7 linked regions of the Mus musculus genome follow. The protein of the gene in region 5 purifies or fractionates together with the protein of the main gene of each other region. This does not show direct contact. Links are inferred from orthologs where the notes say so. Each region holds a gene or a part of one and is shown on either strand. Other genes may lie near its edges.

Evidence for each region.
Region 1: the proteins of Polr2l (region 5) and Polr3f purify together in Homo sapiens (co-immunoprecipitation; 3 studies listed by BioGRID and IntAct, with this or other methods). This does not show direct contact. The link is inferred for Mus musculus from reciprocal best matches to the Homo sapiens genes POLR2L and POLR3F.
Region 2: the proteins of Polr2l (region 5) and Crcp purify together in Homo sapiens (affinity purification with mass spectrometry; 3 studies listed by BioGRID and IntAct, with this or other methods). This does not show direct contact. The link is inferred for Mus musculus from reciprocal best matches to the Homo sapiens genes POLR2L and CRCP.
Region 3: the proteins of Polr2l (region 5) and Rpap2 purify together in Homo sapiens (affinity purification with mass spectrometry; 3 studies listed by BioGRID and IntAct, with this or other methods). This does not show direct contact. The link is inferred for Mus musculus from reciprocal best matches to the Homo sapiens genes POLR2L and RPAP2.
Region 4: the proteins of Polr2l (region 5) and Polr3h purify together in Homo sapiens (affinity purification with mass spectrometry; 4 studies listed by BioGRID and IntAct, with this or other methods). This does not show direct contact. The link is inferred for Mus musculus from reciprocal best matches to the Homo sapiens genes POLR2L and POLR3H.
Region 6: the proteins of Polr2l (region 5) and Polr3c purify together in Homo sapiens (co-immunoprecipitation; 3 studies listed by BioGRID and IntAct, with this or other methods). This does not show direct contact. The link is inferred for Mus musculus from reciprocal best matches to the Homo sapiens genes POLR2L and POLR3C.
Region 7: the proteins of Polr2l (region 5) and Polr1e purify together in Homo sapiens (affinity purification with mass spectrometry; 3 studies listed by BioGRID and IntAct, with this or other methods). This does not show direct contact. The link is inferred for Mus musculus from reciprocal best matches to the Homo sapiens genes POLR2L and POLR1E.

What each region holds. Positions count from the first base shown.
Region 1 is NC_000068.7:144,530,745-144,534,244, reverse strand, and holds part of Polr3f (DNA-directed RNA polymerase III subunit RPC6), read right to left. Parts: intron 1,892-3,500; coding exon 1,824-1,891; intron 1,088-1,823; coding exon 1,020-1,087; intron 1-1,019. UniProt on the Homo sapiens protein: DNA-dependent RNA polymerase catalyzes the transcription of DNA into RNA using the four ribonucleoside triphosphates as substrates.
Region 2 is NC_000071.6:130,027,824-130,032,105, forward strand, and holds the start of Crcp (DNA-directed RNA polymerase III subunit RPC9), read left to right. Parts: upstream 1-1,482; 5' UTR 1,483-1,576; coding exon 1,577-1,584; intron 1,585-4,282. UniProt on the Homo sapiens protein: DNA-dependent RNA polymerase catalyzes the transcription of DNA into RNA using the four ribonucleoside triphosphates as substrates.
Region 3 is NC_000071.6:107,596,340-107,600,495, forward strand, and holds the start of Rpap2 (putative RNA polymerase II subunit B1 CTD phosphatase Rpap2), read left to right. Parts: upstream 1-1,356; 5' UTR 1,357-1,448; coding exon 1,449-1,521; exon of another isoform or gene 1,522-1,918; coding exon of another isoform or gene 1,919-1,964; intron 1,965-2,182; coding exon 2,183-2,228; intron 2,229-4,156. Other genes in the region: Glmn (glomulin), read right to left, coding at 449-487.
Region 4 is NC_000081.6:81,923,414-81,927,618, forward strand, and holds the start of Polr3h (DNA-directed RNA polymerase III subunit RPC8), read right to left. Parts: upstream 2,801-4,205; 5' UTR 2,484-2,800; coding exon 2,373-2,483; intron 1-2,372.
Region 5 is NC_000073.6:141,472,354-141,476,335, forward strand, and holds the start of Polr2l (DNA-directed RNA polymerases I, II, and III subunit RPABC5), read right to left. Parts: upstream 2,801-3,982; 5' UTR 2,770-2,800; coding exon 2,675-2,769; intron 1,052-2,674; coding exon 943-1,051; 3' UTR 1-942. UniProt on the Homo sapiens protein: DNA-dependent RNA polymerase catalyzes the transcription of DNA into RNA using the four ribonucleoside triphosphates as substrates.
Region 6 is NC_000069.6:96,724,640-96,728,710, forward strand, and holds the start of Polr3c (DNA-directed RNA polymerase III subunit RPC3), read right to left. Parts: upstream 2,801-4,071; 5' UTR 2,710-2,800; exon of another isoform or gene 2,474-2,709; intron 1,361-2,473; 5' UTR 1,342-1,360; coding exon 1,195-1,341; intron 1-1,194. Other genes in the region: E3 ubiquitin-protein ligase RNF115, read left to right, coding at 3,170-3,271. UniProt on the Homo sapiens protein: DNA-dependent RNA polymerase catalyzes the transcription of DNA into RNA using the four ribonucleoside triphosphates as substrates.
Region 7 is NC_000070.6:45,017,468-45,021,408, forward strand, and holds the start of Polr1e (DNA-directed RNA polymerase I subunit RPA49), read left to right. Parts: upstream 1-1,141; 5' UTR 1,142-1,204; coding exon 1,205-1,325; intron 1,326-1,806; coding exon 1,807-1,910; intron 1,911-3,941. UniProt on the Homo sapiens protein: Component of RNA polymerase I (Pol I), a DNA-dependent RNA polymerase which synthesizes ribosomal RNA precursors using the four ribonucleoside triphosphates as substrates.

The sequences.
Region 1 (3,500 bases), on a different chromosome or scaffold from region 5:
GTTTTCAGAACCTAAAACCTGAAGAAACCAAACCAAACACTGGGATAGAGACAGACTACAAGAGCCAGTGATAAAGTATATGCTTTGTCATTCTAACTGAACATTTCCTGGAATCTTGGTGTGGTTTTGTTTTGTTTTGTTTGTTTTTTGAGAGGGCCTCACTATGCAGCTGCGGTACAGACCATGCTGGCCTTGAACTCAGAGATCCACCTGCCTCTGCCTCTCCTCGTACTAGGATAAAGTGATGTATCACCATCTAGAGGGACATTTTCTAAAATATATATAAAACAACAACATTTTTGTAATGAAAAAAAAAAAAAAAAAAAACCCCACCACACAAACCACGAACATGGTTGAATTAGCTTACATCACATCTCCTTTCCAATCTTTTACCCTAATCTCATCTTCCTGATAGTTTCACTTCGGTGGCGCACACCTTTAATCCCAGCACTTGGAGGGCAGAAGCAGGCAGATTTCTGAGTTCGAGGCCAGCCTGGTCTACAGAGTGAATTCCAGGACAGCCAGGGCTACACAGAGAAACCCTGTCTCGAAAAACAAGAAAAACGAAAACAAACAAACAAAAACCAAAAAAAACACTGTAAATGAAAAGGAACTTAAATTTGAATCATGTTCATCTGCCATCTTCAACCATGGGGTGGGGGTGGGGGATACAAAAGTTTACCTGCTTCAATTCATGTACATCTATTATTTAAACAACATCCTACTTGTAAGATGGAAAAAAATAAGGCTATGGTTCTTAAACTCAATACCCATTGTGGGAAGTTATGAGTTTTCCTTCAAACAAAGTTGTACATGAAGAAAGAGACTATGTACAAAACATACATGCTTAGCTGCATGTAACAGGATATGCCTGCAATCTCAAATATCAGGAAGACCAGACCAGAAGATACTGAGTATGAAAGCCTGGTCTACAGGATGGGACCTTCTCGTAAACAAATGAACAGAACACTTTTTTAGGTCTAGCCCTGCAGACAGCACCTCACCCTTCCCATACTCACCTTTATTCCCTGCATCCTCTATGATTTGATAGACCAGTTTTTCCTGGTTATCGGACCCCTTCATTTTACTGCAGGGAATAGAGCAGAATTAAAAAAGGAAAAATTGTAGGCTGTGTTATCATCTGCATGACTACTTCATTAGCAGACAAGGCTATCATGCTGACTTATTTAGCAAAAGAAAGGCTTACCTTAAAAAGAATGAGACAGAGTTGTGTGTAACAATATGAAAAGATGTCCAAAGTACAATAAATAATAAAAAAAAAAGTTACAGAACAGTATGGATAGCATGATCCAGACTTGTGAGAGAAAGAAAGAAAAGAGAGAAAGAAGAAGAGCGAGAAAGAAAGGGAAAAAAGAAATAATATATATAGAATCATCCATGAATATTTAAATCTGTCTAGAAGAAATTACCAAGAGCAGGTCCTCTGGGAAATGGAAACACAGAACAAAAGCAGGATGGTACAGTTTCTTCTGGGTTCTTACTTCGAGGCAGGATCTTTTGACACATAGCTTAAAATTGTCTTCAACCTTATCATTCTGCCTCTGCCCCCATGTGTCAAGACTACAGGTGTGCACCACATACTGAGCTACATTATGTTCATACAGTCTCTCACATAGCTCAGGCTGGCCCTCAACTTGCTGTGTAGCTCAGGATAGCCCTAAATTTTCTGCCCTACTTCCCAAGTGCAGTGATATGGGTGTGTGCCACAATACCTGTTACTATGTTAGCATTTGTTTTAATATGTACATTACTTTTGCAATAAACACATTTTTCACAAAATTAAAAAATAGGTGCTTACTTACCCAGCATTCTGAGAATCCTTTATTCTATATAAGAGGCCTGTGTTACTCCTTAAAAGATCCAACTGACCCTAAAGCGTTTTAAAATAAAATATCATAGTCAATTACTCTGGAAATATATCAGTTCAGATGGCAAGTTTACTACAGTTTTAAATGTGTTGATTATACACACTATTCTGCTACCCACATTTGTTAGTTCTTCATCCGAGACTGAGGATTTTGTTTGCACACCTCAAACAAGGTATTTTTTAAAACTAATATAAAGACAGTTCAAGCTAGAGATACTAATTGTGTCCTATATACTAACCTGGTTTCATAATTTGGCCAGGGCACAAACAAGTTTGTTCTTGTTTTTTTCTTTTCTTTTCTTTTCTTTTTTTTTTTTTTTTTTTTTTGAGACAGGGTTTCTCTGTGTAGCCCTGGCTGTCCTGGAACTCACTCTGTAGACCAGGCTGGCCTCGAACTCAGAAATTCGCCTGCCTCTGCCTCCCAAGTGCTGGGACTAAAGGCGTGTGCCACCACACCCAGCCACAAACAAGTTTTTTTTAAAAATCTATTGTCAGTTGTGGTAGTGGCACATACCTTTAATCCCAGGGCTCAGGAAACAAAAACAGGCAGACATGAGTTTTAGGCTAGCCTAGTAGTCTACAGAGTGAGTTTCTGAACAGTCAAGGCTATACGGAGAAACTCTGTCTCAGGGGAAAAATTATTTTATTTCTTATATATGGATATTTTGCTAGCATATATATCTGTGCACCATTTGTAAACAATGCTCATGGAGGCCAAAAGAGAGCACTGAATCCCTGGTATTGAAGTTACAGCCAGGTGCAAATCATCTTGTATGTGGGTACTGGAAACTCAGGCCTTCGTAAGAGTAGCAAACGCTCTTAACCTGGGGGAAGAAGAGACAGCTCAGCAGTTAAGAAGAGCACTAAGAGTTCTTACACAGGACTGGGGTTCAGTGCTCAGTACCCACATGCAGCTATCAACAGTCTAACTTCAGTTCCAGGAGATCAGTGTCCTCTTGTGGTCTTTGTGGGTACCAGGCATGCATGCAGTGCAGGGACAATACATGCATGCAAAACACTCACACACAATAAATAAAAAGAAATCATTTTTAAAAAGTTGTTTTAGGATAATATATATATATCCATATTGATTCTAAATAAGTCCCAATTATATAAAATATGGATAGATACAATTAAAATAGAATTTGTACTGATAAAAATTTAGTCCAGATAAAGTATAAACATGAATATTCAACAGTATACTAAGTTAAACTATAGTTATTAATGACATTTACTAACATGTACAATTTAATTGTGAATGGAGAATTAGGCAAAAAGGTTAACCAGTGAACAAAAGGTCTCCTGTAGTGGTATTTTTTATAATGAAGCAAAATAAGATAAATCATGTTCTATCGTGCTTTTGAACCTCCTTGGACCTGGGCATCCTGAGAATCCAGATGCATGTACCACTGAACTTGCAGAAGTTATATATAACTATAACCAAGAGGGGGCCCTACTGCATATTAAGAATGTAAAATAGGTTTACTTACTGGATAAACTGCAGTGCCCTCCCTTCTTCATGAAACGGCAACATGGGATCACAAAATTCAATTCAGAGGTCCCCATCTGTCCTTTATTCAGGCTATTCTGGCCACTCACTAAACACCTGTAC
Region 2 (4,282 bases), on a different chromosome or scaffold from region 5:
TGCACCTCAAACACTCTTGGCTTTGGGACGCCTCTTTGTCCTTGTTAGTCATTCCCCTGACTGTGCTGGAGTCTAAACACAGTGTGTTATTTATGCCCTGAACTGGTCCTCCAACTGGGCTGTCAGCTAGCTTGGAGAGTGTGTATTATTCACATCTGAATCACCAGCACCCAGTGGGCAATCACGGTAAGACTGTTGAGCGAGTAACACCATGAACACCATTGTGGGACCCATTCTCCTCAAGACAGGTACAGGGCACCATTCAGTCTTACGTTATGATGACATTTTATTTACTTGATAATTTTTTAATTTAATTTTTTCTTATTTTCAAATACCATCATTCTTGGATGTACCTGTTGAACACACACACACACACACACACACACACACATGTGTTGGTTTTTATGAGACAGAGTTTTCTTTTCTTTTTGTTTTTTTGAGACAGGGTTTCTCTGTGTAGCCCTGGCTGTCCTGGAACTCACTCTGTAGACCAGGCTGCCTTGAACTAAGAACTCAGAAATCTGTCTGTCTCTGCCTCCAAAGTGCTGGGATTAAAGGCATGTGCCACCATACCAGCCAGACACCCTCTATTTCTAATACATTATCCCCTGCAAACCATTTTAACACTCACACCAATCTCAGCACTGGGAGGCAGAGGCAGGCAGATCTCTGAGTCTGAAAGGCTACTTAATGAAAATCTGTCTCTCCCCCCCAACTCCCAATTTTTAACGGTTGTATGGGAAACGGGATCTCTACATAGCCTACGTTGACTAGAATTCACCATGTTGCCCAAGCTGTCCTCAAACTCAAGGCATTCCACCTGCCTCAGCTTCCTACGTGCTTAAACCATTCCCCCAGTTCTATTTCTGTCTGTTGAGACTGGGTTTCTCTTTTCTCTGCCTCCTTCTTTCCCCCTTGTTGGAATTAGAGGCTTGTGCTACCTTGCCTGGCTTATGTTTTTTGTTTTGTTTCATTTTGTTTGGTTTTTTTTTTTTTTTTTTTTTTGGTTTTGTTTTCTGTTTTTTTGAGACAGGGTTTCTCTATGTAGCCCTGGTTGTCCTGGAACTCACTTTGTAGACCAGGCTGGCCTCGAACTCAGAAATCCGCCTGCCTCTGCCTCCCAAGTGCTGGGATTAAAGGCGTGCGCCACCACTGGCCGGCATGTGTTTTTTGTTTTTAACAAAAACAAAAACACAAAGTCTCAAATAGCCCCCATGGCTTGAAAGTCATTATGTAGCTCAGGCTGGCCAGAAACTCCTAACACTTCTCCTGCCTCAGCCTCTCTACTGCTGGGTTTACAGGTATGAGCCAGTATGACCGGTTTAGGGATTTTAATGCGGCCAAGGCAAATCCTAACAAAACCTGCACTACGAAAACGCTCGACAGTCTGAAATTAGACCAGGATAGGGACACCTAGAATTAAGGAAGAACCGGGCGTGCCCCGCAGCGATCCCGGCATGCACCCCGGCGGTCCCAGCGTGCCTTGCGGCACACACACGGAACCGGTGAGCAGAGCAGCGCCGGCGCAACGTGAGACTCTTCTCACGGCGGTTGCGTACGCTGAGGCAGAGGCAACATGGAAGTGTAAGCGACACGACCAGGGGAAGCCAGGATCATCTGGGGACCGCGAAGCGGCCGGCGGCTAGACCTCGGGACCCGCGAGCAGGACGGGTGGGCGGGGTGCACGGGCCGGAAGTGCCTGGAAGTGGGGCGGCAGGGGAGGGACCCTGCTGCTTGGGAACTCGCTCGCCTCCCACATCTTTTGGGGAGGGGAATGTTGAAAGGATAGAGAGGTTTCCTTTTTTTCTTTCTTTTGGTTCTGGGAATGGATCCCAAGACCGTGCACGCGGTCTGGAAGTAGTGCGACCCAGAGATAACGTCCCAGTCATTATCATTACTATCTTGGGATGTGGACTTTGCATACGCTAGGGAAACACTCTACTACTGACTGAGTCATATTCCCAGCCAGCATCATCACCATCATCGTTTTGTGATGGTGGAAATGGTACCCAGGACTTTGCTGGGCAAAGGCTTTGCCACCGACCTGCATCGCCAGCCATTATCGCTATTGTTATTTTGGAAATTTGAGGAAGGTACCCAGGGTTGTGATCGTACTGGGTGTGCTAGTTTTCTTTCGGTTGCTGTGACAAACACCATGACCAAAGCAATTTAGGAATAGAAAGGTTTTTATTACATCTTACACTTCCAGGACACAGTCCATCATTGAGGGAAGTCAGGGCAGGAACTCGAGGCAGGAAACCGAAGCTTCAGAAACAGTTCAAGAACTCTGATGGCTGGTTTACTCTCTGGCATTTTCTAATTTTTGTTTGTTTGTTTGTTTGTTTGTTTTTTTGAGACAGGGTTTCTCTGTGTAGCCCTGGCTGTCCTGGAACTCACTTTGTAAACCAGGTTGGCCTCAAACTCAGAAATTCGTCTGCCTCTGCCTCCCAAGTGCTGGGATTAAAAGCCTGTGCCACCACCAGTTGGCCAGGTTGTACCCTCCTGCATCATTTAATAATCAAGACGATCCCTCATGGACATGCCCATAGACCAGCCTGATAAAAGGCAGTTTGTCATTGAAGCTTCGTCTCCTTTTGATGATTCCAAGCTGTTTCAAGTTGACAGTTAAGACCAACCAGAAAACCAGGCCAAGTTTCCCCCCCACTCCCTCCAGACAAGGTTTTTCGGTAGAGCTCTGGCTGTCCTGGACCACGCTTTTTAGACCAGGCTGGCCTTGAACTCAGATATCCATCTGCCTCTGCCTCCTGAGTGCTGGGACTAAAGGTGTGCGCCACTACCGCCTGGCAACTAGGCAGATTTCTGAACAGTACCCCCAGCTGTTGTTGGGATATACTCTTCTTCCTTCTCCTCATCATTATGGTCATCATTTTGTGATGTTGGGGATGGTACTCACAGTCTTACACATGCTTGGCAGGTACCACTGAATGACAGACACCTTCCACACCGTTATTATCATTGTTATTGTGATGATGATGTGGTGTGGTGCTGGGGATAGAACCTAGGGATGGTAAGCAGGTACTTTATTACTAACACACACACACACACACATACACACACACACACATATACACATACACACACGCACATACACGCACACACACACACACACACATATACACATACACACACGAACATACACACATATTCTCTCTCTCTCTCTCTCTCTCTCTCTCTCTCTCTCTCATGTGGTGTTTGGGATGGAAGGGACCTGAACATGCAGACAGTCACTCTACTAACAACAAAGCTACCTGTCAGCTTATTTTTCCACACTTTTTTTTTTTGTTTTTGTTTTTTTTTTGGGACAGGGTTTCTCTGTGTAGCCCTGGCTGTCCTGGAACTCACTCTGTAGCCCAGGCTGGCCTCAAACTCAGAAATCCGCCTGCCTCTGCCTCCCGAGCGCTGGGATTAAAGGTGTGCGCCACCACACCCGGCTCCCTGTGCCTTTTAATATATGGTCTACTATATAGTCAGAGTTGGGAAACTGGACCTCTTCTTCCTTTTACAGCTAGCACTTAGAAAGGAGAGGCAACAGATACATAACAAGCCAGCAATAGGCTTCAGATGAGAGTGCCTGTTGGCTGGCTGTGAGGTGGGAGGGAGCTCTAGGTGAAGTGTTCGTTGACTTCGATGCCTTCTGTTTTCTGGTATCAAAGGGTAGCTTTTCAGAACATGAATTGATGGCATGCTGCTTTTAAGCTTAGAAAAGTTTAGCAATTCTGTTCGTCACTCCGTCCCTAAGTCAGGTGTGTGGCAATTAATAGGCACTGCTCACTTGTTTGGTGTGTGCTTGTGTGTGCTTTTAAGGAAAGAGTGTCAATAGATCATTTTGTTCTGTGTATTCAGAACTCTGTTTTCCAAAATGCCTGTTTACTTCTGTTGAGCTGACTCAGCAAACTTTGCAGGGTAAATTTCAAATGGCAAGTCAGCTTCAGTTCACTAAGGAGTTGCTCAAGGGCACTGAATAACCACCCACCTACCGCACAGACTCCACAGTCTTTAAAATTCACTCGGACCCAGGGTCGTGCTCCTTAGGAGTGGGGGCAGGAGGAGCACAAGGCCGAGGGCAGCCGCAGCTGCAGAGCAGGTTCCAGGCCAGCCTGTGAGTCTGTCACAGTGAGAGCCTGTCTCAAAAACACACTGAAAAGGCCCAATCTGTACTGAGGCGATCCTGCCTCCACCGCCCTGTCCCCTTCTGCGCTGGCTTGAGTTGTCCGGCAGTGACTTGGAATGGCCAAGGTCACGTTTCTCAATCACGAAAGCA
Region 3 (4,156 bases), on a different chromosome or scaffold from region 5:
TTACTAACGTTTACCTTCATACATATGCATGTGCCTGATGCCCATTGTGGGCCAGAACAGGGCCTGGGTTTTGAGAAATGAACCCAGGTCCTCCGCAAGAACAAGTGCTCTTAACCACTGAACCATCTCTCTAGCCCCTTATGCCCCTTGTGAGCGAGGGTCTCTCTCTCTCTCTCCATAGCCCAAGCTGTCCTGGAAATTTACCATGTAAACCAGGCCAGCCTCAAAATCAGAGACCCCTCTGCCTTTGCCTCCCAAAAGTACTAGGATTGAAAGTCACCACCACCATCATCATTATCATCTAATCTACTTTCCTGATTTTTTGATATTTACAAGTCAAAAAAGAAGAAGCAGAATTTAGTTAAGATAAATAACATGAGTGACCACAAAGTAAAGATACTCTATGCCCTTCCCATATATTTAAAGGTGTTTTCGGAGAAGTACTTACACATCTTTTTATTATGCTCTGAAGTTCCTCCACAGCCATTCCTAATTATTTTCCTAATTTTGATGCTGTAATGAACTAATACAAAAAAACCCAGTTAATTGTGTGATACCATGTAAATTATGTTTCATAAACCGTTTCATTCTGAATTATTAGACAACAAACACAATGTAAAGTTTTATAGGTTAACTGCTATTACTGAACGTTACTGTGTTAGCCTAATGAAGCATTTTTAAAAGCCCCTGATATAATGCCTAAAGAAAGTAATTTTTAAAGAATGACGAGTAAAAAAATAAAAAGAGCCCTAGAAAGAACTACTAGAAAAGCCTTTGTTTAAAAGGAAAACAAAAATCCAAATTGTGGACCTGGAATGAAAAATCTAATCATTAAGTAATTTTTTTAAATGTCCCATTGACAAAAACTGGAATCCAACATAATTAAGTCACCCAAAGAAGTTGAAGATTCCGATGCCGCCCACCCCATTCTCCACAGGATCTCCCTCCTCACATAAACAATCGTCAGTGAGATCACCGAGTATCACGAAAAGGAGGCCAGCAGCGAAGGTCCTTGCCCCGCAGGCGCGAACAGGAAAATCACACCCTACCGCGCCTGGCTGAGGCGAAGGGAGGCCATTTCTCCCTGCTCCTGCAGGGCAGGGTGTCCAGGCTCCAGCACCTCCAGAGGCCGAGCAGGAGAGCCGCGTGCGGCGCAGGTCCTGTTCGGCGAGCCCGATCCGCCCGACCCAGCATGTCTACCTACCCGCCGATCCACGCGCCTGCCTCTTGCCCTCCTCCTCCTTCTCCACTTCAGGTAGCGCAGGCCGCACTCCTGGCCCCGCCCCCGGACCGGACCCTCCCCCTCCGCCGCTCGCCCCGCCCCGCCCTGGGCCCGCCCCCTCCGCCGCTCGCCCCGCCCTCCCTGGGCCCGCCCCCAGCCCGGTTCCGGGCGAAGCGTGAGGAGGTAGATGTGCTGTCCCGACCCCCTCTTCTGACCGCATTTCCCCATGGCTGACTCTGCCGTACCTTGCTCTCTAGGCCCAAGTACCCGGGCTTCCAGCACCCACCGAGATGCTACCGGTACGAACAAGAGCCACCGTCCCAGGCTGGGACCCTGAGACCTTGGTTTGAGTACCACGCACGCGCGGGCCTCTTTCTGAGGCTGCGCCGGGGAGAGCGAGAACTCCGGGTGGATGAGGCCCAGAGCTTCCCAACGCAGGCTGTCCTAGTGCCTTCGGGGGAGGAATCCCACACTCTTACACAGGGGTTTTAGGATCTACCCGTACGTGGGAACAAGTGGCCAAGGCAGGTGGTGGTCAGTTGCCTTGAACCTTGGATTGCTTTGATATCTGGTCTCTGAGGTCTCAGACTCCTCTCTTTAGGCAAGGGAACAAACATTTGGGAGACTGAGCAATGTTTATTCTAAAGGAACCCAGTTTAGAGAGTGTTTTAAAAGCACTTGATTAAAGCGCATCCGATGAGAAAGAGTCCTCGAAGAGACTGCCGTCATGAAAATGTAAAATGTAATTAATTTACAGAAACAATTGAATTTGCTTCCTGTTTAGCCCCCCCTTTTGTTTTTGTTTTTCTGGGGGGGGGGTTGTTTTTCTTTTTTTGTACACATCGAAGTTGGAAATGAGATGTGTGAGAGAAAAGGAAATGGTGCCTACAGTGTGATATTTGGGGACTACTCTGCTACATCAAATGCATTGGCACTTGACTTTTCTCTCTTCAATTGTAGGTACTAAACAGACCCGAGCCCTGAAACGAGGAGATGCATCTAAAAGGTAGAACCACGTGGGCATCTGCATTTCACTTTGCTTTTATCTCATTAATTCAATCTGATTTGGTTTTTTTTTTCTTTTCTTTTTTTTTTTCTTTTCTTTTTTTTTTTTTTTTTTTTCTTTTTTCTTTTTGGTTTTGGTTTTTTTGTTTTGATGTTCTGTTTTCTGATCTTGCAATCTGGGAATTGAACTTAAAGACTTTGTACATTCTAATGAAGCTCTTTGTCTAATTTACCGAGCTATACTCCAGCCCAAATAGTTTAAAAGCATAGTGCATACCTTTCTTGAGAAAATACTGAAGACTCAGGAAGCACTGTCGATTCTCACGTAAGACTGCTCTGTCCTTCAGCTGTAGGAAAACCAATGTGGAGGCTTAGGCTGTTGGAAACTATCATGAACACCTGTAGAAAGTTCTGGGGACATAGTTCCTGAATTAACCAATCTTTCCCATTTCTTCAGGTACACTATTACTGTTGTATGTGCCAAGCTCGCTGAAGCAGGTTCTTTCTTTATCACTTCAAGGCACCTTTTGTCTTCTGGGTTTTTTGTTCTGTTGTTGTTTTGTTTTTCTTTTCTTTTTTCTTTCTTTTCTTTCTTTCCTTCTTCCTTCCTTTCTTTCTTTCCCCTCCCCCCCCCCTTTGGTTTTTCGAGACAGGGTTTCTCTGTATAGCCCTGGCTGTCCTGGAACTCACTCTGTAGACCAGGCTGGCCTCAAACTCAGAAATCCGCCTGCCTCTGCCTCCCAAGTGCTGGGATTAAAACCGTTCTCCACCACTGCCCGTTTTTTTGTTTTCTTTTATTTTGTTTTTGTCTTCTTTGTAACGTTAAATAGGAACTTAAAAACAAACCAACCAAAAGCATCCTTTACAGTTTAGAGCTTCCAAAAAGTCATGGCCTCTCGTGTCACAGAGGAGATAGCTAGAGCAAAACTCATCTGAAGAGACTAACATTCATCACTTCAGGACTCACCGACTCTTCTTGCAAGATAATTTCCAAATACAAGATCGTCTGTATTTGAGTTAGGCCCTTAGGATGTGTTGTTGAACAAGTCGGTTTTGCTCACAAGAACTGAGCTTCCACTTCCGTATCACTGCTCATCACGGAAGGACAGTCAGGTCAGGAACTCACGCAGGGCAGGAACCTTGGGGCAGGAGCCGATGCAGATACCATGGAGGAGTGCTCCTTACGGGCTTGTTGAGCATGGCTTGCTCAGCCTGCTTTCATACAGCATAAGCCCTAGGATAACATCATCCACAAATGGGCTGGGTCCTTCCCATCAATCACTAAGAAAATGCTCTTTAGGCTTGCCTGTAGCTAGAACTCATAGAGGCATTCTTTTTTTTTTTTTTAATTAAATATTTTCTTTATTTACATTTCAAATCCTATCCCGAAAGTTCTCTATACCCTCCCCCCACCCTGCTCCCCTACCCACCCACTCCCACTTCTTGGCCCTGGCATTCCCCTGTACTGGGGAATATAAAGTTTGCAAGACCAAGGGGCCTCTTTGCCCAATGATGGCTGACTAGGACATCTTCTGCTATATATGCAGCTAAAGACATGAGCTCTCATAGAGGCATTCTTAAGGTTCCCTCCTCTCCAGTGACATTAGTGTGTGTCAGTTTGATGTAAAACTGCCAGGACAACATTATTGACTGCCATCATTTGTGACAGACAGAGAACATAGTAAGGTACTGTAGATATCTGTCAGTCAGGAGAATGGTTAAACAGTCAGTGTGCTTGATAATTGGAGCCAGCAAATTGTATATAAATCTTAGTACATGACATCACCTTTATTGATGGGCATAAAGTGAGAAAAATTATTTTTCATGAAGCTTTTCGTATTTAATATAAAGACCTGTAATGTAATCTGTGTTCATATCTTTTTACTTTCTTTGATACAAAAGTGGTCTTTATGGAGTTAGTGGTTATAG
Region 4 (4,205 bases), on a different chromosome or scaffold from region 5:
ACTTCAGAGCTGGGGCAGAGCTCCCAGCAGTCGTCATCTGTGGAGGTTTCTCTCTCAGGATCCAGTGAACTGACCTCACCCGGGCATGGTGATCTCTGCCTGTAATCCCTGCAGCTGAGAGGGGGAGGCAGGGGTATCCGAAGTCCAAAGCCATCTTTGGTTACACAGTGGATGTAAAGTGAATTCAAGTCCCATGAGATGTGGGGAGATGGTATTGGCAAAATGGTTCAGCAGTCAAGGTAGATCCCAGGACCCCTTTCTCCTTATGAGCTGTGCCGTGGCCTATTCATGTGTGCTGTGGTATATACACCCACATTCAAAATAAATCCATGTAATGAAAGAAAGAAAAAAAGAAAGACAAGACAGACAGACAGACACAGACAGACAGACCTGGATGTCATGGCTGACTAAGTGTGACCTCCACAGGCCCATAAATGTGAATGCTTAAGTCATCGGAGAGGGACACAACTTGAGAAAGATTAGAAAGAAGGTATGGCCTTCTTGTGTCAGTGGGAGTGGGCTTTAAGGTTTCACAGACCCACAGCAGGCGAGCGTTACTCCCTTGGCAGTGGAGGACATAGCTCTCAGATCCTACTCCAACACCACGTGTGCCAGCACGCTTCCACCACAATGCTGAAGGACAACCTCCGCAACAGTAAGCCCCCAGTAAAATGCTTTCTCTTGTCACCTTGCTCATGGTATTTCCTCACAGCACTAGTGCAGCAACTAAGACTGGGTGTGACACGCACCTTCAATCCTAGCACCTGGGTGGCAGAGGCAGATGGTTCTCTGGGATTGGAAGGGCAACGTAGACTATAGCAAGTTCCAGGCCAGCCAAGGCTACATAGTGAGATTGTCTCAAAAAAAATTAAAGGATTGTCAGTGAGCTCTCTCCTCCTCCATGTGACAAGCCTCAGATCTGTGTGTGTACCTTCTCCTAGGGCCTCAGTCTCCTATAAGGGACTACCTGTCTCCTGTAAAAGCCAAACTCGCTCTTTCTTTCTGGCTCTCTGAAGATCACATCCTACCGACCCGTAAAGAACAGCTTGGACTATAAGGCCCTCCAGGGCTCTGTGGTCTGGCTTCCGTCTACATTTCCGTTCCAGCTACACCAGCATTCTGTGCCTCTCCTGCCTCAGGACCTTTGCACATGCTAAATGCACTGCCTCCACAGCTCTACACCCAACCTACTCCAACCATCGAAACAGAGTCTCTCTACTTTGCTACATCCATTCCAGTAGTGACCCGCTTGACAGGCCCAAAAGCCTGGACACAGTCCCAAAGTGAAAAGTTCACAGAAAGGCCTGTCCGAGGCATTACTTGGTGTCTTCCCACCATCAGCTCTCAGAGCAATGGCTGTTTCCTCAGAAGTCACCCATCTCTTTCATCCCGGGTGACACTCCCCTGTTCCCCACTCTGTGAATGCCTGTCCTTCATGGCATTTACCCCAGCTCATTACAACAAGACATTCTCAAGCCAACTTCTTCTCACTAGGCTACAAGGGCAGAGCCTGTGTCTCCCATTGGAGAGAGTGAAAGTCCGAGAAGGCCCCTGTAGTCATAGAAAGGGAAACACAGTAACCAAATGAATACAAGAAAGGGGCTACTGAGCTGGCTCAGCCGGTACAGCTGCCTCCCTCTAAAGCTGAAAGCTGAGTTCAATTCTAGAGACCCGCACGCTTATCCTCTCACCTCTACTCTCACACTGTGGGCAACACAGATAACACAAACCGAGGCCCAGAGAGGGTGACTTGGCCAAGACAACACAGTAATTGAACGAGGAAACAGGCATATTCCAGTTTCTGTTTTACAAACCCATTTTGTACACACGCTCTCTCCGTTTTGTTTTCTGGCAATCCTGAGAACCGAACCAGTGACTCCGCGAATGTCAAGCAAATTCAAGCACTGTTCAGCATCCTGATGCTTTTTGTTTCTTTTGAGGCAGGGTTTCTCCGTTGTAGCCTTGGCTGTTCTAGCACTCCCTCTGTAGACCAGGCTGGCCTCGAATTCACAGAAATCCGCCTGCTTCTGCCTCCTGAGTTATGGGATTAAAGGCATGCGCTACCGCCAGCAGCTTCGGTGCTTTTAATTTGTCTGAGTCAAGGGCTAACTATATTGCCCACGCTGGCCTCGAACACAGGATCGTCAAAAAGCCTCAATAGCCAAGAAGCTCGGATTACGGGTGTGCACTACCTCGCCCGGCCCATTTACTCCCTTGTGTACACGTTGTCACCCAAGTCTGGTTTATAAGGATGCGAAGGAAAAAAACCCCGACATGAAGTTAAGTGTGCAAGGCCAAGGGTGAACCAGGCGATAGCCAGACTAGCAGTGGGACCGGTAGGGACACTGCCGGGCAGCCCGAGGGCCCAGTACCTTGTTGGCCAATTTCTTGTTCAGCTCCTCAGCAATGGAATCGTTGAGTTTCCGCTCAAACTGCCACGGGGGTATGCGCACGGTGTCCACCATCTCCACCAGCACGAACATCCTGCGCTAGGGCTCTGGAGACCGGAGAGGCTGCCAAGCACGGGGGCCTGCGAGCTGTGATGGGGTGGGGGGGACCCGAGCCTCCTCCGTCCCTTCTCAGCCTCTGACAAGCCAAACCTGCAGCCGAGCTGCGCGGGAGGGCCTGGGCTCCAATTCTGGAAGCTACGCTCGTCTCCCGGAGGAAACTGAGGCCCGCTCCCGCCAGCCTTGGAGGAGCGCCGGCTCCCCGTCCCCGGATGCCACCCTGGCCTCGTTCCGTCCGCACCACGCGCGGGAGCCACGCGCGTCCAGCAACGCTGCGCTTGCCAAACCAAATCAACTCAGCTTCCGGAAAACTGACCAATAAGAAGCATCTGCCCGCCCCTGCGGGTCGCAGAGCTTCGCGAGGCTCCCGTGAGGGGCGGGGCCGGAAGGTGGGCGGGGCCGCCAGCACTCTCCCGCAAGTGAGAGAAGAGGGGCGGGGTAGAGTGCCGAAAGGGCGGGGCCCCATCCTGAAGCAAGCCAACCCCGGGCCCCTGAGAGAGTCTGGTTGCTAGGCGACAAGTCTGCACTTCAAGCCTGATTGTCTTTCTTTTGCACAACAGCCAGATAGACCCTTTGAAAATACAAATTTAACACGTTCAAAATAGTCTTTACTCCAGACAAAGTACCCAAGAGAGTGGGCAGAAAAGGGTCGCCGGGCCTTCCTGGATGATGTCATTTTAAGTGGTGCATTTGATGGATATGCTCACCAAAGCTCAGCACACAAAGCTTAAACAGCTGAAACAGACTCACGCTTGTAATACCAGCGCAAGAGAGGGTGAGGCTGGACAATCACTGCAAGTTCAAGACCAGCCTGAGTTACCAAATGAGATCCTGTGGCCGGGCAGTGCTGGCGCACGCCTTTAATCCCAGCATTTGGGAGGCAGAGGCAGGCGAATTTCTGAATTCGAGGCCAGCTTGGTCTACAGAGTGAGTTCCAGGACAGCCAGGGCTACACAGAAAAACTCTGTCTCGAAAAACCAAAAAGAAACAAAAAACAAAAAACACAGATCAGCTACATAGTGAATTCAAGTCTAGCCTGAGGTACAAAAGACTTTTTGTTTGTTTGAGACTCTTTCTAAAAAGAAAAAGGGGGGTGCCTAACAATGATGGTGACACACGTCTTTAATCCTAGCACTTGGGAGGCAGAGGCAAACGGATCTCAGAGTTTGAGGCCAGCCCAGTCTACAGAGCAAGTTTCTGGACAACCAGGACTGAACAGAATAATCCTGTCTCAAAAAAACAAAATAGAAAAATTTTCTTGCTGCACACTTTTAATCCCAGCAGTTGGGAGGGGCAGAGACTGTCAAATTTCTGAGAGTTAAGACAAACCTGGTCTACCAAGAGAGTACAAGATAGTCAAGGCTATACAGAACACACTCCCTCCCCCACCCAAAAAAAAAATGAGGAGAAAAAAAATAAGGCATTTTGGGCTGGGCGTTGATGGCACACACCTTTCATCCAAACAATTAGAATGCAGAGGCAGGAGGATCTCTCTGAATTCGAATTTGAGGCCAGCCTGGTCTACAAAGCAAGCTGCAGGACAGACAGGGCTACACAGAGAAACCCAGTCTCATAACACATGTAAGACAACAGTGTGCCTTTCTAGAAACAAAGTATTTCAGGGAATTGACAGGAGAGGTAAGAATTGATTAGCAATGATCTTCATAATATCAGTAAGTAACTTGTTTTACATTTCTA
Region 5 (3,982 bases):
CTGGGAAGATTCTGGAAACAAGATCCTCAGGCATGGGCAGCAGATAGGCTCACACAGCTGATGGGCTTTAGGACCCAAGAAATTCGTGAGGCCTGTGGCCTTGGGCGTACTCCTACAGTATCTGGGTTTGGTTGGGTGGCACAAGCCGTCCTTTAAACTCAACACTCGGGAGGCAGAGACTGATCTCTTTAGTTCAAGGCCAGCCTGGTCTGCAGAGTTGAATTCCAGGATAGTCAAGGCCAAACAGAGAAACCCTGTCTTGGAAAATGAAAGGTAAATAAATCTGGGTTTGATTCCCAATACCTGATGGCAGCTTATACATTCTATAACTTTACTCTCAGGGGATCTGGCCTCTGTGGGGACACAGTGATACAAAGACTTATAAGCAGACCAAATACCCAAATGCATAATAACCCTAGCACAAGGATTGGGACCTCCAAGCACGCTCAGCATTCCAAAGGAATATTGTCACCAGGCTTGGGCCCATCCATACCTGTGGATGGTGTGGTGCCCACATCCATTATGCCCATCCTGAACACAGGCAGGAAGCGGAGAGGCCCTAAAGCAATGTGGTACAAGACTACTGTAGGGCTACCTCGTTGATCAAAGTGGTCAAGGCCCCGGGGAACGGAAGCAGGGTACTCCTCCACAGGACGAGACTCCCAGTCAGATGAAGGGGAAGGAGACCAGCCCTAGGGGAAAGACTGGAGGCAGGCCAGGTAGCCTCAGAGACAGCACAGACATGGACATGGAGCACCTTGGAAGTTAGACCTGTTGGTGGTTCTGCAAACATCTTTACTAAACAGTTCCTTCCAGGGTAACAGGACTTAGCCACAGGGCCACAGCCAGGCAATACACCAACATCCCCAATAGCTCAGTTTGAACATAGCACGACAGGCTGCCCGTGGCCAGCAGGAGACAGAGGAGGGCAGGCTCCAGCGGTCACTTCTCTAGGGGTGCATAGTTCAGCAGCTTCTCAATCAGGTCCACGTGTGCTAGCAGCATGCGGCGGCAGCAGTAGCGCTTTAGGCCCAGAGCGTCCAGGGCATCCCTGTAAAGAGAAGAGTGAGGCTGGATGTGGTCTCTAGAGTCTGGATAGGTTTGGAACCACCTCCAGCTTGCCTCTGGGTATTCGTGTGGATAGGGGTTACCAGAGCACATCTACATAATCAGCGATTGAAACCTGACACCAGGCCATAGGGAAATGGCCTGGAGATTTCTGAAATATGTATCTAGATGCTCAGGGAGGAGCCAGGTGACCCTTTCCCCACCTAGAAGTTACACCTGCTCATGTGCCAGTCTTCTCCCATAGCATCCTGTATCCATCCTTAACAGCCTTCTGCCTACACCTGTTTTTTAAAATTTCGTTTTATGTGTATGGGTGCCTGATGCTCCCAAAGCCCAAAGGAGTTACGGACACTTGCGAGATACCATGTTGCTTCAAGGAACGGAACCTGAGTCCTCTTAAAAAACAATCAAACAACCAAACACACAAAACAGCCAGTGCTCTTAACAGTTGAGCCATCTAGCTGGGTGTGGTGGTGCACACCTTTAATCCCAAGCACTTGGGAGGTAGAGGCAGAGGCAGGTGAATTTCTGAGTTCGAGGCCGGCCTGAGCTACAAAGTGAGTTTCAGGACAGCCAGGGCTACACAGAGAAACCCTGTCTTGAAAAACAAAACAACAACAAAAAAAACAGTTGGGCCATCTCTCTAACCCCCTGTATCTCTGCGTTTGTCTCTTGTACCCAGGGTTATGGGCTTCCAGGGTTATTTGGGAAAGCTTAGGAGACCAATATCCCCTCATCAAGGAGTACAATTCCAGGCCCCACAGGTGGACTCTGACTAAACGCCATGAACTGGTTGTTGCTACCCCACAGGCTTTGAACTCACACTAGATTTAATTTCTCTGGGACCTAGACAGCTTGAGAGGTTCCTGCCCAAGTGAAAGAGGGTCCCAGAAGGCTAGCAGCTACTCATCAGAGCTGATCTAATAGCTGCTCATTAAGCCCCACTGACTTATGGCTTGTGCAGAGAAAGAGAACCCCTTGGTGTTGACATGGTGGCCAGAGGTCTATTTTGGGGGACAGTCATAGTAGTGAGCACAAGACGATGCCCACAAAGCCTGTCCTGCATTTTAAAGGGCCCACGAGGTTCGAAGTACATAAGGGGTAGGTCGGAAAGCAGATAGAGGATAGAGAGTAGGTCGACAGGGAAGAGACTTGAGGTGTCACCCACGGGAAGGATGCTTAGAAGTTTCCCAAAGGCCAGCAACTTGAAGAAAACCACCTTCCAAACTTCTGAGAGCCTGGGCGTGATATTGCACGCCTTTAATCCCAACATCCAGGAGACAGGCAGGATTTCGAAGTGTTTCAGACCAGACTGCTTTACATAGAGAATTCAGGTCAGCCACCGAAATCCTGCCTCGAAAACAAACTAAAGACTCACTCTTCTGGGAATACATCACAGGTCTGGGCTGGAGGACATCCAGTCTTCTCACTAGACCCCACAACCCCTGCCCTGCCAATTCTCCATAGGAAATCTTATCTACCCCCGGCCCAGGACACCTCAATTTCACTCCCGGTCCGCCGCAGAACCCTCCCCATTGCCCCTCGACTTCATGCCCCCAGTCCAGCCTTCCCGTCCTGTCCCATCCCCCGCGGCCCGCCGTCTCACCCCTCCGTGTACTCGGCCTGCAGCAGACCCAGGTAGGCTTCCCATTTGTTGCCGACGATCTTCCCGCAGGTGAAGCAGCGCACCGGGATGATCATGGCGGCGTCTGGCGTGCAGGCTGCCGGCAGTAGCTTTTCAAGGCCCGCCCCAGGCGCGCCCATAGCGCGGGGCTCATTACGCCCTAGCTCCGCCCCGTAAGATCCAGAGCCCCGCCCCGCATCTCCCTGAATCCCGCCGCAGCCCTGCCCCGGCTCCCATGATTACCCTGAAGCGGCGGTGTTCCTTGCTCGTGCCCACCCGGGGCTCCGAGAGCCTCCGAGCCCGCGGCAGCATCCCGGTCCCCCCCCTCCCGCTGTGGTGGTAGATCCCGGCGCTACGGCGTCCGAGCAAGGCCGAAAGGTCCGCGGCCGGCGGTTCGCGTTTCTCGTGTTGCCTTGACTGACAGCTGCTCCGCCGTGCGGCGGCGCGCACAGGTACGGCGGTTCTAGCGGGCTGGGGTCCCGCTGGCCGGATCGCAAGCCGACTGGAGCCAAGAGGTGGTTAACAAGTGGTGGTGGCGCAGCCGGAGAGCGGGCTGCCGACTGTCCACGGCCAAGGCGGTCTTCCCGCCTCCTGGCCCGGACTCCAAGGGGTCTCGGTCTGGAGCCCTTACCCGAGGTGCCCAGGCAGAGTCCGGGCCTTGGAGTTTGGGGCGTCCTTCTCTTCGGCCGCTGCAGAACCGTCGGCGGTACGGTGTCCCGAGCCCCGACGGCGGCCTCCCGCGCTCAGTACAGTCCTCTCCTCTGAGAAGGGTCTTTTCCTGGGGAGAGGAGCAGGGCGGTGGTCCGGGAAGGCGTCATGGAGGAGGCACCCTATGAACAGACCTTCTAACCTCTTTTTCCCGGGATATTTGGCTCAGACGCGGAGATTGCGTGCGAGACTGCTAGTGGCCACAGGTCTGCCTCACCTGGACGTGACTTAAGGACTTAAGGGAATGGGCAAGGAGCTGGTTTCTGGGGAGTGTATCACCTTGGCCGCCTTCTTGTGTGTTGGGAGCTACCCTTAGGAAAACGAGGCAGCTTGCAGTGAGAAGCTGGAGAAGTTCGATAGAGCTTGGGAAGTTTGAGATCTGGTTACAGTGAAGGCTCTGGGGGGTCCTAGACATTTTCCAGGTGCCTCTGGGAAACAAACGATGGAGGGGAGGTCGGGAGGGGTCTCCTGGGTCTTGAGTGTGGCTGGTCGGAGCCACTGGCCAGCTTGGTGGTTGTGCCCCCGATGTCACCCTGGACAGCCTCCCTGGCAGCTTTTGCCATCCCCCATGGAGCCACGTGC
Region 6 (4,071 bases), on a different chromosome or scaffold from region 5:
GCCTGTGTGCCACCACGCCCGGCTTATTTTGTCTGATCTTTATCTTTCTTCTAGTTTTCTGTTTTGAATGTGGTTCTCCTGGAGCCCAGGGAAGCCTTACACTTGTTGTGTATCTGAGGGTGACCTTGAACTTCCCAGCCCCTCCTTTCAAGTCGTGGGATCATAAACATAAACACACCCAGTTCTATACAGTGTTGGAGATCAAAGCAGGACATTTTAGCTGCTATGCAGTGTGAATGGTCTTTGCTACTTTGTGGGTTCTTCTTTTTCCCACCCTTGATACTCCCTTCCCACTCCCATCCCCACCCGGGTTTCACCCTCTAACACTTCATAAGAGAGAAACAAGGAGGAATTAGGAAAATCCCTGAATTTAATTTCTTTCGTTTCTTCTTTGACCAACACTACTAGTAAATCACAACTTCCCTAAATGACCACCAACCCCCCGACTCCACATATTGGGGCTGGCATTTATACACACTCTGAAAAGTTCCCAGAATCCCAGACACTGCACAATCACAGGAACTATCTATAGCTGGCAGAACCATGCCTCTGCTAGAACATGAGGCAAATCATAGACAGTCTGAAGCAGCCCCATATCTGCATACTTGGGATTAAAATGAAAAAATATTCTTATAATATTTTTGTATTTTTTGTTTGTTTGTTTTTTTGAGACAGGGTTTCTCTGTGCAGCCCTGGCTGTCCTGGAACTCACTCTGTAGACCAGGCTGGCCTCGAACTCGGAAATCCACCTGCCTCTGCCTCCCGAGTGCTGGGATTAAAGGCGTGCGCCACCACGCCCGGCTCTATTTTTGTATTTTTAAAGAAACCAAAATCCTCAAACTGTCACTACAATGTAGTCACTCTACCAACTGAGCTACATTCTGGGCCAGGATGGGCAGCCCAGCTTACTTTGTTCTATCACTGTATTCCTTAAAGGCCATACCCCACCAGTAGACTTACTGTGAATAAATGAGTGTGGCATGGGAACAGCCAAGATGAGCTAGGAACACCACAAGCGGCAGTACACGGGGCCTAAGTACAATACCACACCCCACCCCACCCACTGTGGTACTGACCACAGGGCAGACGGTCTCTGTTCATACTTTCTAGGGGAAGGAGTTCTCCTGTCCAAAGGTACTTGAAGGAAATGATTGAAGAAGTTGAAGAGGAACAGACTCTCTTATCTAAACATACCTGGTCCAGGGATGCTTTTGTGTCGTGGGCAATTACTCTAAGTGGCTGGCTTCCAGTTCTGACTAGGTGGACTCCAATTTTTTCTACAATCTCACCAAAATGCTCTTGCAGCAACAAAGAACACAGTTTAATCTCTGCTTGAGTCATCGTTCTTAGAGCCTCAGAACTAGGAAAGAACAACAATATAAATTCACATATTTTTTTTCTAGAGGGCAACTTGACAATATAAATCAAACCCTCTATATATTAAGGCATATATTTGCCTTAATATTTATAAGTTGAGATCCTTTGTTCCAAGGATGTAGTAAAAACCATGCCATGAGTTCTCTTCACAATACTGGCATTGACATAAATAATCTAGCATCTATCAATAAATTATAGTATAACCTTAAGAGAGTATACTATGCCAACATTTAAAATGACTTCATACAATATAACTACCATAAAATATTCCTAATGTGTTGTCATTTAGTAATTGCAATGGTCAGATATGATGGTGTACACTGCCTGTAATTCTTGCACACAGGAGACCAAAGTCAAAGAATCAATAGTTCCAGGTCAACCTGGGCACAAAGTGAGTTCAAAGCCAGCCTGTGTTATACAGCAAGACTCTGGTGGGTAATACACCCACCACCCACCAAAACAAAGAACTAGAAAACTAGACATCAAATTTGTTTTCTAAAGCCAGGTATGGTGGTGCAAGCCTACAATTTCAGCACTTAGGAGGTGGAAGTATGAGGGTCAGGAGCTCATGGTTACATATTGAGTTCAAAACCAGGTTGGCTACATGAGATCCTATTAAAATTAAAAAAAAAAAAAAAAAAAAGGCAAGCCATCCTCCCCTATATATGCCATTTATTTTAATGGGAATATATGTGGTTTGTGGTTCCAATAATCTTTAAAGACTGGATTCATCTCGGTATGGTGGCTAACATCTGTATTTCCAGCACTAAAGCTAGAAGACTGTCATAAACTGAAGGCCAGCCTGGGCTACATAATAAATACCAAGCAAATCTGGTCCAGAGTGAGACCTTTAAAAGCAAAGGGGGAGGGAAAGTGCGAATAACTTTCTGTCACAGATACAAAGACCTAAGGCTCATGACCCAGTGGGGTACAACTTATTCCCAAGCCATAAACCACGACTTAGATAGATAAAGTAAAAAAAGAGCTTCTTAGGGTATTTCAATTAGGAGATGAAGTTATGTTCCATTGAGAACCATATTAAATTTTTACATCATGAGACACAAGCAGGAATGGGTGTAGTTGATTTTGAAATTACCTCCCTATCACAAGCTCCAACTCTCTCGAACCTAAATTTTTGTCCCTCTTGCCACAGTGTCGCAGAGAAGACTATTTCACTTAGCCACACACACGTCTTTGGAGAAACATCCTTAGACCAGTTGCCATCCTTGAATGCATTTCCTGGCTCCTCTCCCTTCATGCAAGTTTCTGTTCCGGACTTTGTTTCTTGGCCCTGAGTCAGGGCCTCCTCATTCCGGCAGCGTTTTCACTAACCTCAGGGTCGGGGCTAATTTAGAAGCTCCAAATGTTGTCCTCCCGAGGCCAGCAGCCTCAGCTCATGAGCTTCCCATCGCCCCTTCTTAGAAGTAGAGCACCATCCAGGCGGACGCGGAAGGGTCAGAGCACGGGCCGCTCTAGCCGACAGTGTCGGTGGTTTCCGGGGACGCTCTTTCTCTCCTCTCGTTGGGAGGCTGGAGGACCGGCCAGGGGCTGTCTGAGGTGCCGGCGGGCGGGCTCTCCTCTGCCTTTGGTGCCGGGAGGCGGGCCTCGGGTCGCGTGGCCGCTGGCGGGCGGGCCTCTCGGGGCCGGGCGGACTCACGTGACCCTTGCGGGCCTCGGAGCGGCGGGCCGCCCAGAGGAGGCGGCGACGGCGGTGGCGACCGCAGCACGGGAGGTAGCGGCCTGGGGAGGGACCGCCGGCCGCCCTTTCGGACATCCTCGGCGGAGGCGAAACATGGCGGAGGCCTCGGCGGCGGGGGCGGACGCGGGCTCCGCTGTCGCCGCACACCGTTTCTTCTGCCACTTTTGTAAGGGCGAGGTCAATCCCAAACTACCGGTAAGAGCCCCGTGTGTCCCGCGCTCCGGCGCCGCGTAGGTCCTTGGCTCCTAGGGCTGGAAACCGGGTCTTAGGCTGCCCGCACACCCGTGATTCCCTTGACACCGGTGTTCTCGGTACCTGCTGCCCGCTGTCTCCGGGCACTGGTCGCAAACCCTGGGCATCAGGGCCAGGGTCCTGCCTATCCCTCATTTCCGCGGCGTCTCCAATCAGCCCCTCATTTCGCTTCCGCTCTTTAATACCACCCCCATCTTTTTTTGTCTCCTCGGTGAATTCTCGGGCAAATCTGCGTCCAATTTGCTCTCAGTCCCCTTCCTTGTCTTTTCGCGATGACCTATCCCCTGTACTCTTTCCGTTTTTGCGGCTCACCTACTCTTTATTTTTCTTCCCACTTCTCAACCAGATCCTCCCCCCTTCTGCATCCTCAGTGAGCCGAAATAGCATATTGCTGAGGACTTCTTAGTAGGTTTTGTTGAAGTACAGAAAGAGGAGGTTTGGAAGGTAACAGGGAAGAGGGAGATTTTGTTCTTCAGTGGTTTTTGGGTTCTTGTGAAAGTGAAAATAGCAGTGTACCAATGACTTGCAGACTGCGCTCCCTGTTGCTATCGAAGGAAATGGCTTTGGGAAGAAGGTAGGACGTACTGTCTCAACTTATTTTGGATATCACGTTGCCAGTGTCTTTAGCTCCACTTTCCTAGCCCACCCCCTCCATTTTTTTTTTTTTTCTGCCCAGGAAAACAAAAAAAGAACAGAATGTTGGGACTGCTTTCTCTGATATAAAATTGGCTCTGCCAGGCTGT
Region 7 (3,941 bases), on a different chromosome or scaffold from region 5:
GGAGTTGGAGGTGCAGAAGTGAAAGAAATGAAATAAACTTTCTTTCTGGCTGGGTGTGATGGTGTGTGTATGTAATCTCAGCACTTGGCAAGAGGATGGGGAGTCACCCTCAGGCACAGAACAAGTGGAGTTTGAAGACAACCTGAGCCCAAAAGGAACAGAGACCTCAGTCCCTTCTTCCTCCTTTCATCCTTGACCACCAGATGAGCAGTTTTGCTTTACCATACATTCCCTCTTGGGACCCAAATAAATTAATAATTTAAAAAGTGAAATGTTTCTAATAGGCTCTACCATTCATTACTAACCTCAAATAAACTGAGTATGGAAAAGATTCTGACAGAAGGGGGGATGACTAATTAGTTAACTAAGTCCTTTTATATTCTTTTTTCCTTTCTGGAAAGAATCAATAGAAAATCACTGGGTAGAGTCAAAGAAAGTGTAACCTTCCAACCAAAGAGTTGTGACAGCTAGAAGCAAAGTATAATTTGTGTGTATGTGTGACAGTTCTCACTTGAACTTGCCTCAAATTCATGGCAGCCCTGCTCTTAAATGCTGGGATTACAAGTGTAAGGCTGCAACACGGTTTCTGACAGGCTCTTTTAGCTGAAAAGGCAGTATCAAGGCCGTTGGGGAAATTGAATACTACAAGATTACATGGTTGAATCACTGTTAGCTCTCTTATTTGGGTGGCTGCATTGAAATTACTCAGGGAGAAACCCTACATTAGTCAGTTTTTTTCTATTACCTTAACAAAATATGTGAGACAAAGCTGGTGGTCTAATCTCCGTGAATTTGAGGCCATTATGTTTCACAGAATGAGTTCCAGACCAACCAGGATTACACACATGGTGATAGCCGGCCTTAAACGACAATAACAACACAAAATGAAGACAGCTCATAAAGAGGAACGGTTTCTTTTATTTTGGTTCACAGTTCTGGAGATTTTGGTGTGACTGGTCCCACAGCTTAGAGCCTGCGGTGAGCAATACAACACAAAAGTGAAGCTGCTCTCCTGGAGGTCCGAGACGAAAGGGGAGTTACTGCATCCTCCTGCAAGGGGGAGGGTGTGATCCTCAAGGGAAAGAACCAAAGAGTGGGCGGGGACGCGATCCAGTGAGGGGCGTGGCCTTACTGCTGGTGTACCCTGGGCGGGGCCTAGAATGTCACTTCCGGTTTTTGAGTCCGCGTGTGAACCGGCGAGCTCATGGCTACTCTGGAGTCTCCTGGGATGGATGACCAGGCTGGAGACACGGAGACAGAGGCGCTACAGAGTGCAAGGTGGCTGTACTGTGGAGAGCCCGACGACAGGCAGAAAGCTGTGCTGGGTAAAGACCGCCGACCCGGAGCGGAGTTCCGCGTAATCCTTTCCGCTTCTGTCTGGGTACCACGGTAGCCCACTGCCTGCAGCCGGGACAGGTTCCCTGCCACCATCACCTTTTCCCTCCGCATTCATCTATCGTCACCACTTCGGACTCGTCTCAGGGCAGTGCCCAGGGACCTGACATCTCCACAGCTCTCTCATTTGCCCTTTTCCCCCCTCTACGGAGCAGAGTTTCCTCTCTTGCCAGTTAATGGCATTTCCTCAGTCGTTCTCTTTTGTCACAACCCCTGCCCAGAGGTCACTTCCCCTCCCCTCCTCCATCTCCCTCTTTAGAACTGGACCAGGGCTTTCTTCATACCCCCCCGCCCCCCGAAAGTCGGACTTAAGCTCCCTTGCCTTCACTACCGGCGTCCAGCCACAGTGCAGGTCTCCCCATCCATACCCTGCTGGTCCTCGCCTCTTATTCTTGGCTTACACTCTTACAGTCCAGTTCTCCAATGGGAAGCTGCAGAATCCGGGCGACATGCGCTTCACCTTGTACAACAGCACCGACTTAGTAAACCCCAGGCAGAGGAGTCACCGGATCGTGGTAAGTGCTTGCTGGTACAGATGGTCTGGGCTCTGCAGACCTCAAAAGGTTCTTGGTGTGGGCAGACATGGGAGACCTGGCCTGGGGGGGAGGAAAGGAGGAGTAGCAAATGAGACTCTGGCCCCACTGAGGAGCAAGATTTTGGGCTTTTCACTTATATGGGCTTTATCTTTCCAGACAGGGTTTCTTCCTGTAGCCCTGGCTATCCTGGAAATTACTATATAGACCTGGCTGGCTTTGAACTCAGAGAATCACCACCTGTCTCTGACTCCGTAGTGCTGGGATTAAAGGTGTGCAGCACCACCCACCCCTGGCTTCATAAGTTGTCCCCCTACATGACCTTATTGAACGTTCACCATGTCCTCATGCCGCAGGCTAAGGAAGCATCTTCATGGGATTTGCACCTCTTAGGGAGGTCACTGTTCAGAGCTCAGCTTCAACCCTATTTTATGTGTATGGGTGTTGTTCATTTTTGTCTATGTACAATGTGTGTGTAGCTAGTGGAAGCCAGAAGTGGGCATTGGATCCCCTAGAACTGGGGTTACAGATGCTTGTGAATCAAATGTGACCCCAGAGTGATGGTTTTTTTGTTTGTTTGTTTGCTTGTTTTTTCAAAGGTTTCTTTGTACAGCTCGGGTTGGCCTTGAACTTAGAGATCTACCTGTCTCTGCCTCCTGAGTGCAGGGATCTGGGATTAAAGGCCTGTGCCACCACCACCCAGCTCCACAGGATGCTTACTAGCATCTCTGGTCTCTCCCGGGTAGATGCCAGGGTTAAGACCGGTCTGCTTTCCAGAGACTCAAATTCACCAAGTAGTACAGGCATACAGTAGAGCTAGCTTGGGGTCTAAGGGAGTGTTTAGGGCCTGGGGAGGGAGCTCTGTAGGAAACAAGTCTCAGCTTGTCTGAATGCCTTCCTGAGAAGGGTGAATGGGAATGAGGGACGATTTGATAGCAGATGTTTGGTGCCCTAGTGAACGAGGGAGAAGAAAAGCTTGGCTGCGATGGGAAGCCAGCCCTCATAGGACGAGCTAACGTCAGAAAGGTCACAAGGCAGTTATGTATAGGATCAGTTAGGTACCTATAAGTGCTAGGAGACCAAGACCTCACTGTATAGTTCGTTGTGCTGCTTATTCAAGAACTGCTATTTTCATCTGTATTCCCACTGCCTTCTGCCCACTGCCCTCCCCCATATCCCCCTCCTGCTGGTCCCTTGCCTCCCTCCCAAATAAGTCGCTCTTTCATGACATACATACTGGGCTGGAGAGGTGCCTCAGCATTAAAGAGCACTTCCAGGGGACCGGGGTTCAATCCCTGAACCCACATGGAGGTAGCAACTGTCTATAATTCTAGTTCCTGAGAACACAACACCCACTCCTGGTTCCTGTGGGCACGTCATAGATAAGGCATGCATGTGTGCATAAAGGCAAAGCACTCTCAACACATCAACATTATATCTCATTACATACATACTATATCAGCCTCTCGTTTCCCTTCTTTTGCACCTCTTATGATTCCTTTCAACTCTCATGCCTTGAATGTGTGCATATTCACACACACACACACACACACACACACACACACACTCTAAATCTAGATTCTGCATAGGAGAGGAAAACCTATTTTCTTTATCTGTTTTTGTCATTGATGCGCATCTAAGCTGGTTCCATTTCCTGGCTGTTGTGAATCGTGCAGCAGTAACCATGATTGTAGAAGTACAATACAGTGTGCTAACTGAAGAGCCTTCTGGGTGTATGCCTAAGAGTGGTCCAGCTGCCTCACACAGCACTTCCACTTGTAGTTTTTGAGACCCCTCCACACTGACTTCCACTGTGGCAGCAATAGCTTGCACTCCCACCAGCAGTGAGTAACGGTTCTTTCCCCACATCTCTGCCAGCATTTGTTGTTAGTTGTTTTCTCGGTGATAGCTGTTCTGACTGGGGCGTGATGGAATCGCAAAGCATTGTTTGTTTGCTTGTTTGTGTGGTTGCTATTTCTCTGTGGAATAGCCCTGGCTCTCCAGGACTTGCTT